2 linked regions of the Rhinolophus ferrumequinum genome follow. The protein of the gene in region 1 purifies or fractionates together with the protein of each later gene. This does not show direct contact. Links are inferred from orthologs where the notes say so. Each region holds a gene or a part of one and is shown in the gene's direction. Other genes may lie near its edges.

Evidence for each region. Proteins that work in one complex are often made in the same cells at the same time.
Region 2: the proteins of SLAMF6 (region 1) and SH2D1A purify together in Homo sapiens (co-immunoprecipitation; 5 studies listed by BioGRID and IntAct, with this or other methods). This does not show direct contact. The link is inferred for Rhinolophus ferrumequinum from reciprocal best matches to the Homo sapiens genes SLAMF6 and SH2D1A.

What each region holds. Positions count from the first base shown.
Region 1 is NC_046305.1:28,054,043-28,061,725, forward strand, and holds the start of SLAMF6 (SLAM family member 6), read left to right. Parts: upstream 1-4,673; 5' UTR 4,674-4,753; coding exon 4,754-4,802; intron 4,803-7,683. UniProt on the Homo sapiens protein: Self-ligand receptor of the signaling lymphocytic activation molecule (SLAM) family.
Region 2 is NC_046284.1:32,677,794-32,684,959, reverse strand, and holds the start of SH2D1A (SH2 domain-containing protein 1A), read left to right. Parts: upstream 1-4,164; 5' UTR 4,165-4,251; coding exon 4,252-4,388; intron 4,389-7,166.

The sequences.
Region 1 (7,683 bases):
AAGATCATGTAAGGTGCCAGATAGGCATTGGACTTATCAGAGGGATTACGTCATAGACTGTGTAGATGCCTCACCAATGCACTATACACGTGAAGCTGAAGTAGAATAATATTGAATGTCAACTACAACTAAATATATAGGTGTAGATAGTCACAAGATGTGGAACACAACATAGGGAAGATAGTCAATGGTATTGTAACAGCTATATAAGATGTCAGGAGGTCGTAGCTCAAGGGATGGGTTTCACTTTATGAGGAGTTTAAATGTCTAACTATTGTGTTGCTTTGTACACCTGAAACGAATTTTAAAAAGTGTATAAAAAAGTTTATAACTAGAAAAACTTGTTTGATCAGAGAAAAAAATGAAAAGGATATTCAGTGATATAATTTCCAAAAATATGCCAAGCCTTGGTGGTATTATGAACAAGTTTTACCACATTCAGTGAAAGAATAATTCCTATATAATTTTAACTGTTCCAAAGCATAGAAAACAGTGGGAAATTTCAAAATTCATTGAGCACTGACTCCAAACTAAATGACAATGATTCCCCAAAAAGAAAAATATAGACCAGGGATCAGCAAACTATAGCCTGTGGACAAATCCCACCTACCAAGTGTTTCTATATAGCCTACAGGCTAAGAATAGTTATTACAACTTTAAAAGGTTGAAAAACACTCTAAAGAAGAATAATATTTGGTGATATGTGAAAATTATATGAAATTCAAATTTCACTGTTTATAAATAAAATTTTATTGAAACACACTCAACACCTATTCACTCATGTATTGACTATGGCTGCTTTCATGCTACAACAGCAAAGTTGAATGATTACAATGGAAACTGTATGGCCCACAAAGTCTAAAATATTCACTACTTTGACCTTTACAGAAAAAATTTGTCAACTCCTGGTAGACCAACCTCACTTATAAAAGTTAAAACTTCTAATTTAAATTTTAGCAAATTGAACCAAGCAATGCATTAAACATAAAAAAAAAGAAAGAAAGAAAGAAAGAAAGAAAGAAAGAAAGAAAGAAAGAAAGAAAGAAAGAAAGAAAGAAAGAAAGAAAGAAAGAAGGAAAAGAAGGAAAGAAGGAAGGAAGGAAGGAAGGAAGGAAGGAAGGAAGGAAGGAAGGAAGGAAGGAAGGAAGGAAGGAAGGAAGGAAGAAATCAAGTATGGTTTATCTCCAGAATATAAGGGTTATTTATCTTTAAGAAGTCTTCAATTGTAATTTATTGTTTAAACACATTAAAGGGGAGAATAACACAATCATCTTGACAGATTCCAAAAAAATGTATTTGGTAAAATTCAACACTCATGACTGGTTAGAAAAAAAAAGTAGCAAGCTTAAATTAGAAGGTCAGTTGATGTTTCAGCTCATGTCTGATTAGAAAAACTGAAACCCTGTTAAGTATTGCAAATTCAGCAAATTGAATGTAGGAAATTGAATACAAATGTAATGGAAGAATTTGAGGAGTAAAACAGAGGAGATGAGCCTACTACACAATTAGTAATACCAGGAAGTTGTTACCACTCCTTGGGGAATTTTGCCTTTGGAACCAATGCTGCCACATTGCAGGATCCCACCAAAACCATAAGAATCTCGGAGCCTAAAGTCACTCACCACTGCTATTGCCACCACTGGAGCCACACTGCCAAGACTTCTGGAATGACTACTGGAAATGCATTGCCAGATCAGGAACCCTGGAGCTGCACTCATTTTCCATTATTGCTAACACTGCTAAGACATCAGAAATCAAGGTGAAGAAAAAACATAATTTCTCCCTTCCTCCTACCTTCCAGTCTTTCACGAGTACCACCTGTTGATAAAACTACAAAACAATATCCCTAATAAATATTGATGCAAAATTCCTCAACAAAAATTAGCAAACCAAATTCAGCAGCATAGGAAAATTATACAACATGACCAATTGGATTTATTCCTGGAATGCAAGGATGGTTCAACATACAAAAACCAATCTGTGTAATAGAACACATTAACAAAATAAAGGAGGCGGGGATGCATGATCATCTCAATTAATGCAGAAAAAGCACTTGATAACAGTTTTCATGATTAAAAATATTCAAAATTAGGAATACAACATTTTGAAGCCACTTATTCATTTGCTAGGGCTCCAATAACAAACTACCACAGACTGGGTGGCTTAAACAACAGAAATTTATTTTTTCAAGATTCTGGAGGCTATAAGTCTGGAATCAAGGTGTCCACAAAGTTGGTTTTATTCTAAGGCCTCTCTCTTTGGCTTGTAGAAAGCCGCCTTCTCCCTGGGTCTTCACATTGTCTTCTCGCTGTGTGTGTCTGTGTTCTAATCTCCTCTTCTTATAAGGAAACCAGTCACATTGGATTAGGGCCTGTCTATATGACCTTATTTTAAATTAATTACCTCTTTAAAGATCTTATCTTTAAATACAGTCACATTCTTGAATAATGGGGATTAGCACTTCAATATATGAATTTGGGGGGACACATTTCAGCCTATATTTCTGCCCTCTGCACCATCAAAACCCATGTCCTTCTCACAAGCAAAATACATTCACCCCTACTTTAACAGCCCCCCTCCAAATGTTAACCCATTCTGACATCAACTCTAATCCAAAATCTCATCTAAATATTATCTAAGTTAGGTATGAGGGAAACTCAAGTAAGGATTCATCCTGAGGGAAGACTCTTCTCCAGCTGTGAAACCAGAAAAGTTATATGCTTCCAAAATACAATGGTGGGATAAACAAAGGATAGACATTTCCACTCCAAAAAGGAGAAATAGAAAAGAGCAAAAGGTCACAGGTCACAAGCAAGTCCAAAACCCAGCAAGGCAGATTCTATTAGATTTTAAGACTGGAGAACAATCCTCTTTGGCTCAGTGCTCTGTCCTCTGGGTCCACCTGGAACTGGAGAAAAAATAGTCCTGACCTCTGAACCTGTGCCCTAGGACCCATAGTGGAAGTACCAGCCCTGCCAACTTCTGAAAAGTTGAGAGGTCATTTTTCTCTTTTCTTAAAGGATAACACATGTTTGCAGCTGGATACTCTTTTGGCCTGTCCTGTATTAAGACATCCAATGGCCTTCCTTCATCTAGTCCTGTCTCTGTCCTCTTTAGCACAAGCTAATAGCATTTCTGCTAGTATAAAAAAATGTATAGGCATGAACTACCAATGCAACCCACACTCAACTTGCCAAGAGATAGCATAAGGTTCTACAATTTAAGGGTTCAGTCCTACAAGACTGCCCCCACCCTCCCCATACTTCAGATGTCAATTGTAAGTGCAGGTTGTCACCTGGGCTTCTTACCAACAGGCTATAGATTAGAGGTTCCTACAACTTCTTGCTTGGGTTTGATTAATTTGCTAGGGCAGTTCAAAGAACTCAGAAAAATATTTCAGTTACTGGATCACTGGTTTATTATGAAAGGATATAACTTAGAAACCATCAGATGGAAGAGATGCATAGGGCAAGGCATGGGGAAAGGGTGAGGAGCTTCCATGTGCTCTCCAAGGACAGCACTCTCCCCAGATCACCATGTGTTAACAAATCCAGAAGCTCCCTGAACCCTGTCCTTTTGGTTTTTTATGGAGGCTTCATTTCATATACACAACCAATTAAATCACTGGCCACTCGGTACTGATTCAACCTCCAGCCCCTCTCCCCACCTTGGAGGTGAGGAGGTGGGGCTGAAAGTTCCAATCCTCTAATCACTTGATTGGTTCCACTGCCAACCTTAGGTGCAGTCTAAAAGTTACCTCATTAACATATACAAAGTTGGGGTAAAAAGGGGCTTGTTATAAATAATAAGACATCCATTTCATCTTTATGGCTCTGAAGATATTTCAGGAACTGAAAACAAGAGACCAAATAGTAAAACAAAAGATTCCCCCCATTGCTCAGGAAAAAAAGTAAATAGAATAATTTAAAAAAATAAAATTAGGACTGTTATGATGCATGCCTGCGTAGAGCACCCCTGGAAGCTGTTAGAATGAGTTTTGTGTGAGCATATTGAATGAGCAAGAGTAACTCTATTTTGGACATGCACAGAGAACTTAGCAGACAATGCCCAGGGAGCTGCCTGGTTGCCCTAGTAATTGGGTGCAACAAGCTGCATTCCTAAAGGTCTGCTACTGAAGATAAGAGGACGTCAGGGTCGCAGGCTGGCTGCTCTGATAAGGTGACGTCATTAAGGCACTCATTGCTGCATAAGAACTGAAGACTTTTGCAGCTCAGAGAGCGGGTCTCGACTAAGAGGTGACCACGCTGCTCCTCTGCTCCAAAAGCCTGCTTACTCCATCAGACTCAGATTGAACCTCTGCCAGAACGACCTCCAGGACCAGCCACCCTTCCTGGCTCCACCAGGATTTTTACTGACTTTGGGACTGGTCCATTACTCTGTTTTACCCAATTATTGTATTACTCTGTGTGCTCTACTGTTTGGTGTATTGATGATTGATGTTTGAGTAAAGAGCATATTGAAAGGCATTTAAGATCTTGCGTGCTCTGTTCTTCACTCTTGCCGCAGCTACCGTAGAAGGCTCAATCAGTGCCAGGTAGATCCTGGGGGTCTGAGAGTCTCTTGGGGGTTAGTCCTGACTTGCAGGAAGAGACTGCAGCACGGACTGTGAGCCTAGCAGTCACTTATGACAACACTTCTGACAGGAAGGGGAAGTTTGAGTAAGAAGCACTTTCAACAGAGAACGAACTTGACTGCCTTAAAGTCTTCAGCACCAGTCTCCAGTGCTAACAACATGATTTGGCTGTTCCAGTTTCTCACGCTTGTCTTCTGCGTTGGCCCAGGTAAATGCTGAAATGGACCCATACAGTCACTGAGTGACTCCCAGATTTTGTTTAGCTTACTCAGTCTAAATCACCTATATATGTCTGTCTGTCTCTCTGCCGGGTGCAGCTCACAGTCATGCTTGATAAGCTGCTATGTTCTCTCCAACTTTAATTGTGTCTGTATTTAAGGGAATTTTCTGCTGGAACATGGGAAATGAGCTTTTCTAAGACAAGACTCTTTGGGGTTTATTAACAGCATGTTTTAATAAGGAGTACTAAGATTAGGAAAATAAATCCTTTTACCAAATTAGCTACTATCTTGCTGTATAACCTCAAGTACATTACTTATTCCTCCTGGGCTTCACTACCCTCATTTAAAGTATTGAAAATCTGTGGGATCAGTTTAGCCAAAATTTTGGGGTCCAACAGAAAACACCAGAAATAGTTCTCTTAGTTTCAGCTTGCTGTGAAAAAATAAGTTCTCTAGCTCTCCCGTCCTTTAATACAAATTGGGGTTAGTTGGTCTGGCAGTACTTTATCTGAGAGAAAGGAATTAGCTGATCCTGCCTGCTTCTCATTCCCTGCTGTTTATTACAAGGAAAACATGAAGGTGAATGTCATGTTTGGGGCACAAAAGTGGTCCATCGAGGCCAAAGTATAGGATTCAGGGACAGATGGGGTAGGAAGCAAGACAGAAAAGCTAGGCCAGAACTAGCCCAGGGAAGCAGATACAAACAGTTAATATTCACTGAGTGTTTATTCTGTTTCAGGCACTGGGCCAAGTATTATACACACGTTATACATATAAGCCTCATGTCTTATGAGTCTGTACTATTATTATCCCCATTTTTACATGAGAAATTCAGATAATTTAAATAACTTGCCCAAATTTCATCAGCCAGCAGATGGCAAGCACTTGTGATAGTTCTGAGAAACACTGACAGTTGAACAAACATGGCAGCAGCACAAGAGAAAGGACAGAAGCAAGAGTCACCATAGACATAGAATTAACTAGATTAATTGGCATTGGCAATGAGGGGGGAGGTGAATTCATTAAGTTATCCAATAAATATTCATTGAGCACTTACTAATTCCTGCCATTGTTCCAGTTTCTGGGGATACATTATAAACAAAGCAGGCAAAAATTCCTGCCCTCATAGAGTTAACATTTTAGCAGGGGAGACAAATTATAAACAAGATAAATAAGTGAAATAGTATATTGTAGAGTGATAAATGATAAGGAGGAAAGAAATCAAGAACAGAAAGGGGTTGGTGCAGGATGGAGGGCAGTGAAATTTCAGACTGGGTAACCAAAGAAGGTGACAGAGTTGAAGGGATGAAGTAGCAGACAAGGAGAGGAAGGTGAGTTCAATTTTGGACCTACGAATTTTAAGGCATCAGTATGAAATCCATGAAGAGATTTCCTGAAAGCAGCTTGAAATAGGACTAGAGGTAGGACTGAAGCTGGAGGCTTGGAAGTCACAACAAAGAAATAATAAGTGAAGCTCAAGAGAAAAGTGAAAAGAGGACAGAACCTTTGGAAATATGTATAAGATGCAGAAAGTGGAATAATTCATTTATTCGATAATTCATTTATTCAAGAGCCATTTCCTGGCCTGGGAACAAAGATCCACATCTTTGTCTCATTTTTACCTCCTTACAAAATTGAACCCACCTGTAGAATCAAATATTCTGAAGGTCCTCTGATTAAAATTCCTCTGCTTCTCCCCATTTCCCTTGATACTCTTCATAGGACTCTATGAAACATATTGTTCCTATCCCCACTTTAAGGAAGAGGAAAGAAGGCACAGACTCTTAAGTAACTTGCTTAATGTCACATACGGAGGTGACACTGTGGGTGGTGTAGGAAAACAAACATATTTGAATGTGTTTGCAGTTGTTTTGAGGCCCACGAGAAAAGCAGTGATTGCCAGATTTGGAAATCAAGGAGCCTGGCTCCAGAGTCTGTGCTTATAACCGCTTCACTATTCCACTTAGTTTACACACAGCTACATATTTACATAAATGTATATATAATTATTAAAATGTGATTGCTAGGAAGAAAATAAGTTACCATGGGAGAGAAAAACAAGGGGATCTGCTTTGGATGGGGGTAATGTGGATTTTCTGGAAAGGTAGCATATCATCTGATATTTAAAGGATGATGTGCGAACTCAAGTGGGGGGAGCCTCATGAGGAAGCATCCAAGGCAGAGGGAATCACGTGTGCAAAGACCCTGATGCAGGGAAGAGTTTGCAGCTATTAAGGAAGGGAAAGAAAACCACTGTGGCAAGAGTGTGGCACACAAAAAAATCAATATTGAAAACAAGCATGAAGGAAGACAACTCACACCAGCCCACATTCTCTCAAGTGGGTTGAGCACTATAACTTGCTCCTTTTAGAAAATTTAGCTGGAAAGATAAACCATATTGAGAAATAATCCTAATAAATATAACTAGAATCAGGTATCATCATGCCCTGGGACAAATGAATCTCATTTGTCTCTCCATTATTCTTTCTAGATGAGAGCTTGTCAAATGTTAATATGCATATGAATTACTAGGGAATTTCATTATAATGCTGATTCCGGGATGGAGACTAGGATTCTGCATTTATTACAAGCTCCCAAGTAAAGCCAGTGCTGCTCCATGGACTACACTTTGAGTAGCAAGGTTGTAGATTTCATGGGATTAAGTCATATTGGGTCTGGAGGAAAGAGGAAATGGGAAGTAATTCTCTGATTGGTTTTGCAAGAAGCAGATACACATATTCTGCTGTCCACGAGAAAACAGTGGTTGGAAATGGAGGCAGAGCCAATACACATGGGCTAGCCAAATGATTCTGAGGTTGTGAGTTAAAAATTTGCAGGCTCTTCTGCTAAGAGATTGTATCCAATGAC
Region 2 (7,166 bases), on another chromosome or scaffold:
GAAGTGAACACCCCGATACATCTAGTACCTATCTGACACCATACATAGTTATTACCATATTATTGACTTTATTCCCTATGCTGTATTTTATATCCCAATTACTATTTGGTAACTACCAATCTGTAACTCTTAATCCCTTCCCCTCTTCACCCATCTCCCCCATCCTTACTCCTATCTGGCAACCATCAAAATGTTCTCTGTTATCTATGATTTTGTTTCTGTTTTGTTTGTTCATTTATTTTGGCTTTTAGATTCCACATATAAGTGAAATAATGTAATATTTGTCTTTCTCTCTCTGATATATTTCACTCAGCATAAACCCACTAGGCCCATCCATGTTTTTTACAGATGGCCAGATTTCATTCTTTTTATGGTTGAGCAACATTCCATTGTATATATGTACCACTTCTTCTTTATCCATTCATCTAATGATGGACATTTAAGTTGCTTCCATATTTTGGCTGTTGTAAATAATGCTGCAATGAACATAGGAAAGCACATGTCCCTTTAAACTAATGTTTTTGTTTCCTCGGATAAATTCCCAAAAGTGGAATTACTACGCTCTTCTATGCCTCTTGTTATAGCCTTTATTTTAAAGTCTATTTTGTTTGGTATAAGTATTGCTACTTCAGTTTTGTTTTTTGTTTTTTGTTTTTGTTTTGTTTTGCTTTGTTTTTATTTCCATTTTCATGAATGTCTTTTTCCATCCCTTCACTTTCAGTCTGTGTGTGTCTTTAGATATGAAGCGAGTCTCTTATAGATAGCATATGTATGTATGGGTCTTGTTTTCTTCTCCATTCAGCCACCCTATGTCTTTTGATTGGAGCATTTAATCCATTTACATATAAAGTAATTGTTGATAGATATGTTCTTATTGCCATTTTATAATTCATATTTTAAATCTTTTTTTTTCCTTCTTTATAAAGTTTCTTTAACAATATTTGTAATACTGGTTTGGCGGTGATGACTCCTTTAGCTTTTTCTTGTCTGGGAAGCTCTTTATCTTTTGATGCTAAATGAAAGCTTTGCTAGGTAATCATGACTGTAGGTCCTTGCTTTTCATCGCTTTGAATATTTAATGCCAATCCTGTCTGGCCTACAAGTTTCTGCTGAGAAATCAGCTGACAGTCTTATGAGAGCTCCCTTGTAACTGCCTTTCTCTTGCTGCTTTTAAGATTCTCTCTTTGTCTTTATCCTTTGGCATTTTAATTATGATGTGTCTTGGTGTGGGCTTCTTTGGGTACATCTTGCTTGGGATTCTCTATACTTTCTGAGCTTGCATGTCTAGTTCCTTCACCATGTTAGAGAAGTTTTCTGTCATTATGTCTTCAAATAAGTTTTTAATTCCTTGCTTTCTCTCCTCCTTCTGGTACCCCTATGATGTGAATGCTGGTATGCTTGATGTTGTCCCAGAGATCCCTTAAACTATCCTAATTTTCTGGATTATTTTTGCTATTCTGATGGGCTGCTTTCTGCTACCTTATCTTCCAAATTTCTGACTCGATCCTCTGTTTCATCTAATCTACTGTTGATTCCCTCTAATGTGTTCTTCATTTCCGTTTTTGTATTCTTCATTTCTGAAGAATTCTGGTTCTTTTTTATTATTTCTATCTCCATTTTTATGTTTCCTATCTCTTTGTTAAAGTTCTCACTGAGATCACTGAACATCCTTATAACCAGTATTTTGAACTCTGCATCTGGTAGGTTGCTTGTCTCCATTTTGTTTAGTTCTCTATCTGGAGCTTTGTTCTGTTTTTCATTTGGGACATATTTCTTTGTCTCCCCATTTTGGCTGCCTCCCTGCATTTGTTTCTATGTATTAGGTAGGGCTACTATGTCTCCCAATCTTAGTAGAATGTCCTTATGTAGCAGGTGTCATGTGGGGCCCAGTGGTACCGTCTCCCTGGTCTACTGAGCTGAGTGCTCCATGTGTGTTCCTTGTGTGGGTTGTGTGTGCCCTCCTGTTGTAGTTGAGCCTTGGGTGATGTTGGCATATCAATGGGAGGGATTGAACTTCAGGCTGATTAGTTGTGAGAACTGGCCATGACTACAGTGGAGGAGCTGTTATGGAGGCTGACACTACAGGGCAGGATTCTCTTTAGTGGAGCTCTGGTACTTGCCAAGTCTTCCCTTTGAGTGTGTTGTTTATGGAGGTGGTTGGGTGGTGCTCTAGTGTGGTCTGAAGCTGGCAACTGGGTGTGTTGATTCTGGGGCCTCTTGGAGTGGCTGTGCTGCAGGCCAAGTTCAGTCACTGCCTGTGCCTTACCTGGGGCCACTTGGCATGAGCTACAAAGTAATCTGAAGATAATTGCCACTTGTACTTGGCTTGGAAGTTCCTGGGAGAGGCTAAGCTGTAAAGAAAGGCTGGGTGCTGCTGGGCTTGGGGATGTTTAACAAGAGGTATGAGGCACCATGAGGCCAGATGCTCCTTATTTGCAGTTTGTGAATGTTTGAGAGATTTGAGGAAAGTTTACAGCATGAGGCAAGACAGGCTGTTTGTATGGTGTGGGGACAGAGCCAGGATTGCAGTTTCCAGGCTCTCAGTATCACATGGAAAGGTGCTGGCTCAGGTAATAAATGGCTATCAACTGTGATTGGATGGCCATCAGCTGTGGCTAGTTGGTGGTCAGCTATAACCAGTGAGCCATTGGCCACTAATATAACTGCTGTGGCTACACTAGCAGAAAGTCGGGGGCCTAGCAAGAGGATGGTGGCCGAGCTGGCAAGCGCATATTGCAGTTAGCACGGCAGAGTGCAATTAGCACTCACCATGTCCTGTGTTCTTATGTGGGGAGCAAGACTTCGAGACCCCACCTGACACCTTGCATGACATATCGAAAAGCCACTGGAAGTGGCTTGGGTGAGCCTGAAAGTTGGGTAGGGAGGAGTCTCAGGGAAACACCAGGGCAGGGCCAACGGTAGGTGTTAGCCAGGTTGTTGGAGACTCAGGTATAGCAGCTGCCTGTGTCTGCATTCTGAGAGGTAGGAGTACTCAACAAAGAAACAATGGTTTCTGCCAGCACTTCTCTCTGGGAGAAAGTTGGTCCTCCAGCTCTTGCCCTGAAGCCAGACAATTCATTTCCTCCCTCTATGTCCCTGAATCCTTTCAAACTGCTGCCATAGTGCTGGAGCTCAAAGGGAGTGATTCTGTCAATGAGCAAATCCATATGCATTTCCTTTAAGAGGAACACCTGGGACTCCAGCTGCCCTCTGTCTCACTTAGCCACAGTCTACCCTTGTTTTCACAGCCAGAAGTTAAGGTGACTTCTCTTCCAGGCACTGTAACCCTGGGTTGGGGGGCCTGACCTGGGGCTGGGACCCCTCACTTCTCACAGGGGACCTATGCAGTGGAGATATTTATCTCAATTTTTAACTGCCACACGTGGGTTGGGACCAGCTCATTTTATTTCTCCATTCCTTGTATCAGTCTCAACGTGACGTATTTTGTATATCCTTAATTATAGGACTTCTCTTCAACTGGATTTCAGGTGATTCTCAATGATGGTTATTCTGTAGTTTAGTTGTAATTTTGAGGTGCTCATGGCAGGATGTGAGCACAATATTTACCTACTCCACCCCATCTTGACCAGTTACCAGACATAGACTGATTTTTGAATGTCAACCAGCACTTTGGGAACTTGGACAAGAAAGGAGAAAAAATCAGTATTTGCCGCAGGGCCCTCCTGGTTGTGCTCAATAGTGATTACACAGTGATAGTAGTGACAGCTTCTGAGTTTTTGTCTCAGAGATTTTGGTACTTTCATTCTCTGTCAGTGTTTTTCTGACCCCCATGAAGGACATGTACAACTTGCCTCTATCATCATCTTATTTGGGAACTAGTTAAGCTGTCATCCTGCTAGCCTCTGGGAAAACTGCTAGAATCAAAGTATTACCAAGCATTCCTCTGTGTACACTTTGGTAGTACAGCCCAAATCTTGCAAGGACCTTCTTCCCATTTTCTTCCCCTCTCCACATGAAACCTCTGTTGTGCGGGTGGGGCAGGTAGGGGATCGAACACTGTGGCAATAATCAAGCTGCTAAATTGCTGAGCTGGTTTTAATTGAAGTGTGAGAAGGAGGTTTTAAGGCAGGTAGACAACATCCTGTTGTTCTGGTGCTCCTCTCTCTCTTTTGCACATCTGGCCTAACTGGGAGTCAGGTGGCTGACTCGTGCATAGTAGCAGCAGCAGGAGCAGCAGCAGCATCCCTTCTGCTGTCCCACGCCTCAGCCCGCCCAAGAGTCCACCAGGCCATGGATGCAGTGGCTGTGTATCATGGCAAAATCAGCCGGGAGACAGGGGAGAAACTCCTGCTTGCCACCGGTCTAGATGGCAGCTATTTGCTGAGGGACAGCGAAAGTGTCCCAGGCGTGTACTGCCTGTGTGTGCTGTGAGTATGTCGCGGTGGCTGGGTCTAGGGACTGCAGAGGGTGAGCACTGGGAGTGAGCATGAGTGGCAGGGCCAGGCAATGTGTGGGCCACAGGAGCTGGTTGCAGCCTCTTCCACTGCCCATCCGATGGCCCCTAAGGCTTATTTAGGTCCAGCCCAGGATTATGGTGGACCATGCTTTAGCTTAGTCCCCTCACTGGGGATTTCACTCTCCAGAAAGTCCTCCCCAGTAACTTTTGAGGGCAGTGAATGCCACTTTGGGTGGGCAAACACAGCCTAGAATTTACCTTTGCTCCGAGAAACACCCAGGCTCCTGATTTCCATTTTGACCTCTAGTAGAGGCCGGCAAGGTAGAGCCCGGGGATGGTGGAGTGGCCAGATTTGGGGCCAGCAGCTCCTGACAAAAGAAAAGGCTTCTCTACACCTCTCTTTAAATGTATTTGAAGGTGTCATCCCAAAGGAAGACCATCAAATTCAGGGAGGGGAAGAACACTAAGAAACTTAATACATTAAGAATGCAATGTCAGTTAGGTAGGAGGTTGAGAGGAGAATGTTTGTGAGTAAAACTGCCTTTCTGGATCTGCTTATTTAGCTTCCTTTAGAGGAGTTGTGTGTGGGACAGGACCCTTTCTTAATAAAAGTTAGGACAGACAATAGTTGTAAAGGACCTGGAGGGAAAACACCTTTGTTATGAATCACTTTTGCCCTTTATCTAACCATGTTTTTGTCTAACGTCCTATTTTTAATCAGATGCAACTTCATCTTTGCTCCAGAGCTCCAGAGTCAGACAGACCTGACACTTAATCCTGTGCTAGTCTAATGTTAGGTTTGTGACCTCAGCAATTAACCTCTCAGTCTCTCAGTTTTCTTATCCATAAAATAATATTACTACCTACCTCATAGGATTGTGAGGATTAAATGCCATAATGCAGGTAAAACTTTGGCACTGGACCTGAGAGATAGTAAATGTTCAGTAAATGTAAGCTATTATTATTATTATATTCCTTTTTTTTCCCAGTCAATTTCTTTTAGTACTCATGGGGCATTTCTAAGGAAGTAACTAGCTCAATTACATTTTGTCAGCATGATAAAAAAAACACCCATGGAAACAGCTGCTTGTACAGTAGGTTCTAGACAGAAACAAAATAAGGGAAAATGCTTGGTAGTAATTTTGGTAACTAATGATGTACTGCAAGCTTTTGAAGTACCTTCTGGGTCAGTAAAGAAAGATTACACTGAGGCTGATAATAGAGGATTTTCATTGTTTACTTTATTTTTTTAATGGTCAAGCCACGCTTGTGGTAACTCTCAGGACATGCTAAATACATTTATTATAAAGGCTTTAAAGGAAATAAATGGAAGCTGTTGAATTTCTTAGGCTCAGAGCTTTATGTTTTGCTTATATTATTGTTTTTCCCAAGCAGAAACTGGGGAAGGTCAATGAAAGCCAAGTAGTATTCTTAGGCCTTGTTATTATCAAAAGATGATGGAGGAGTGAGTGGGTCATGAAAGGGGCTTCTTTAGGAAAGCTGACAAAGGAGGGCCCCTTAAGTTAGAGGTAAAAAATAAGGTACAAAAAAAGCCTGGGCAAGGGAGGGAGAACAGAGGACAGTGTGTAGCAAGATGCACCTCAGGCTTCAACCACACTGTCATCTTTGTTGTTTCTCAAGCTTGCCAAGCATGCTTCCCCCTTAGGGTCTTCGTCCTTACTGTTGCTCTTGCTTCTTTCCTCAGAGGGGACTTTCTTGATCACCTCATCTAAAATAAGTACCCTCTCCTTGTCCTTGTTATATTCTATTTTTTCTTCAAGGAGCTTTAAACTATCTGAGATTTGTTTGTTTACTTATTTATTGCTGGGCTCTCCTGCTAAAATGTAATCTCCATGAAAGTAGGGACATTGTCACCTGCAGCAGGAACATAGCCTGGCACATAAAAAGCATCATAAAGCACATAATAGTCACTCAATATATATTTTTGAATTAATGAATGAACTGTCAAAGCAAATGCTGTTCTTTACTACAAAGAGCTATGGACTGATAATCAGGCCAGCATGTGGACTCTGGAGAAGTCACTCAACTTCTCTGGGTCTTGGTTTCCATATTTGTAAAGTAGCTGTCTGCCCTGCCTTCTGCATAAGATTGCTGTTGGTAAAATATGCAACATATAAGGATAACTTTAGTCTTTTGCCCATTTAGGCCAAGATCACATATGGAATTAATTTAGGCAGGTGGGGAATTCTAAAACATTTAAGTTTTCGCCCAAAGTGAATCTTGCATAAATGCAGTTTTTATGACTCTTTGTTCTCCATGCAAACTTCCTTATGAAGTAGCATAAAATAGCAGGCAAATTAGGAGTCCCCCGAGAATCTTTTGATGGACACACTGGGGCCTCCAAGTCTTAGATGGTGACTGTTAGACCATGCTGCAGAAGCAAGACACACAGATACATTGCCTTTTATAAGTTCTCAACTTTTTTGAGCCAAAGGTCCCTTTTGATAAACATAAACCTTTCATTCCCCCATTTCAGTACTATGCTGTAGTAACAAAATCACATTTTATTTTGAAATAAACCATGTACTCATTTTAAACCAAAATGTATATGCTTATGATGTGCAGCAGGAATAACAATGTAAATGGTATCATAGATACATGAACAAGAAGGTATAGCTAACAAACATGCACTGATTATAGGGTTTGCTCAGAATAGTTTCTCATTCTATCTTTTGTTTACTCGCATTATCCAAGGTTTGGTTGAGCTTCAGTTTCTGTATTTTATTGT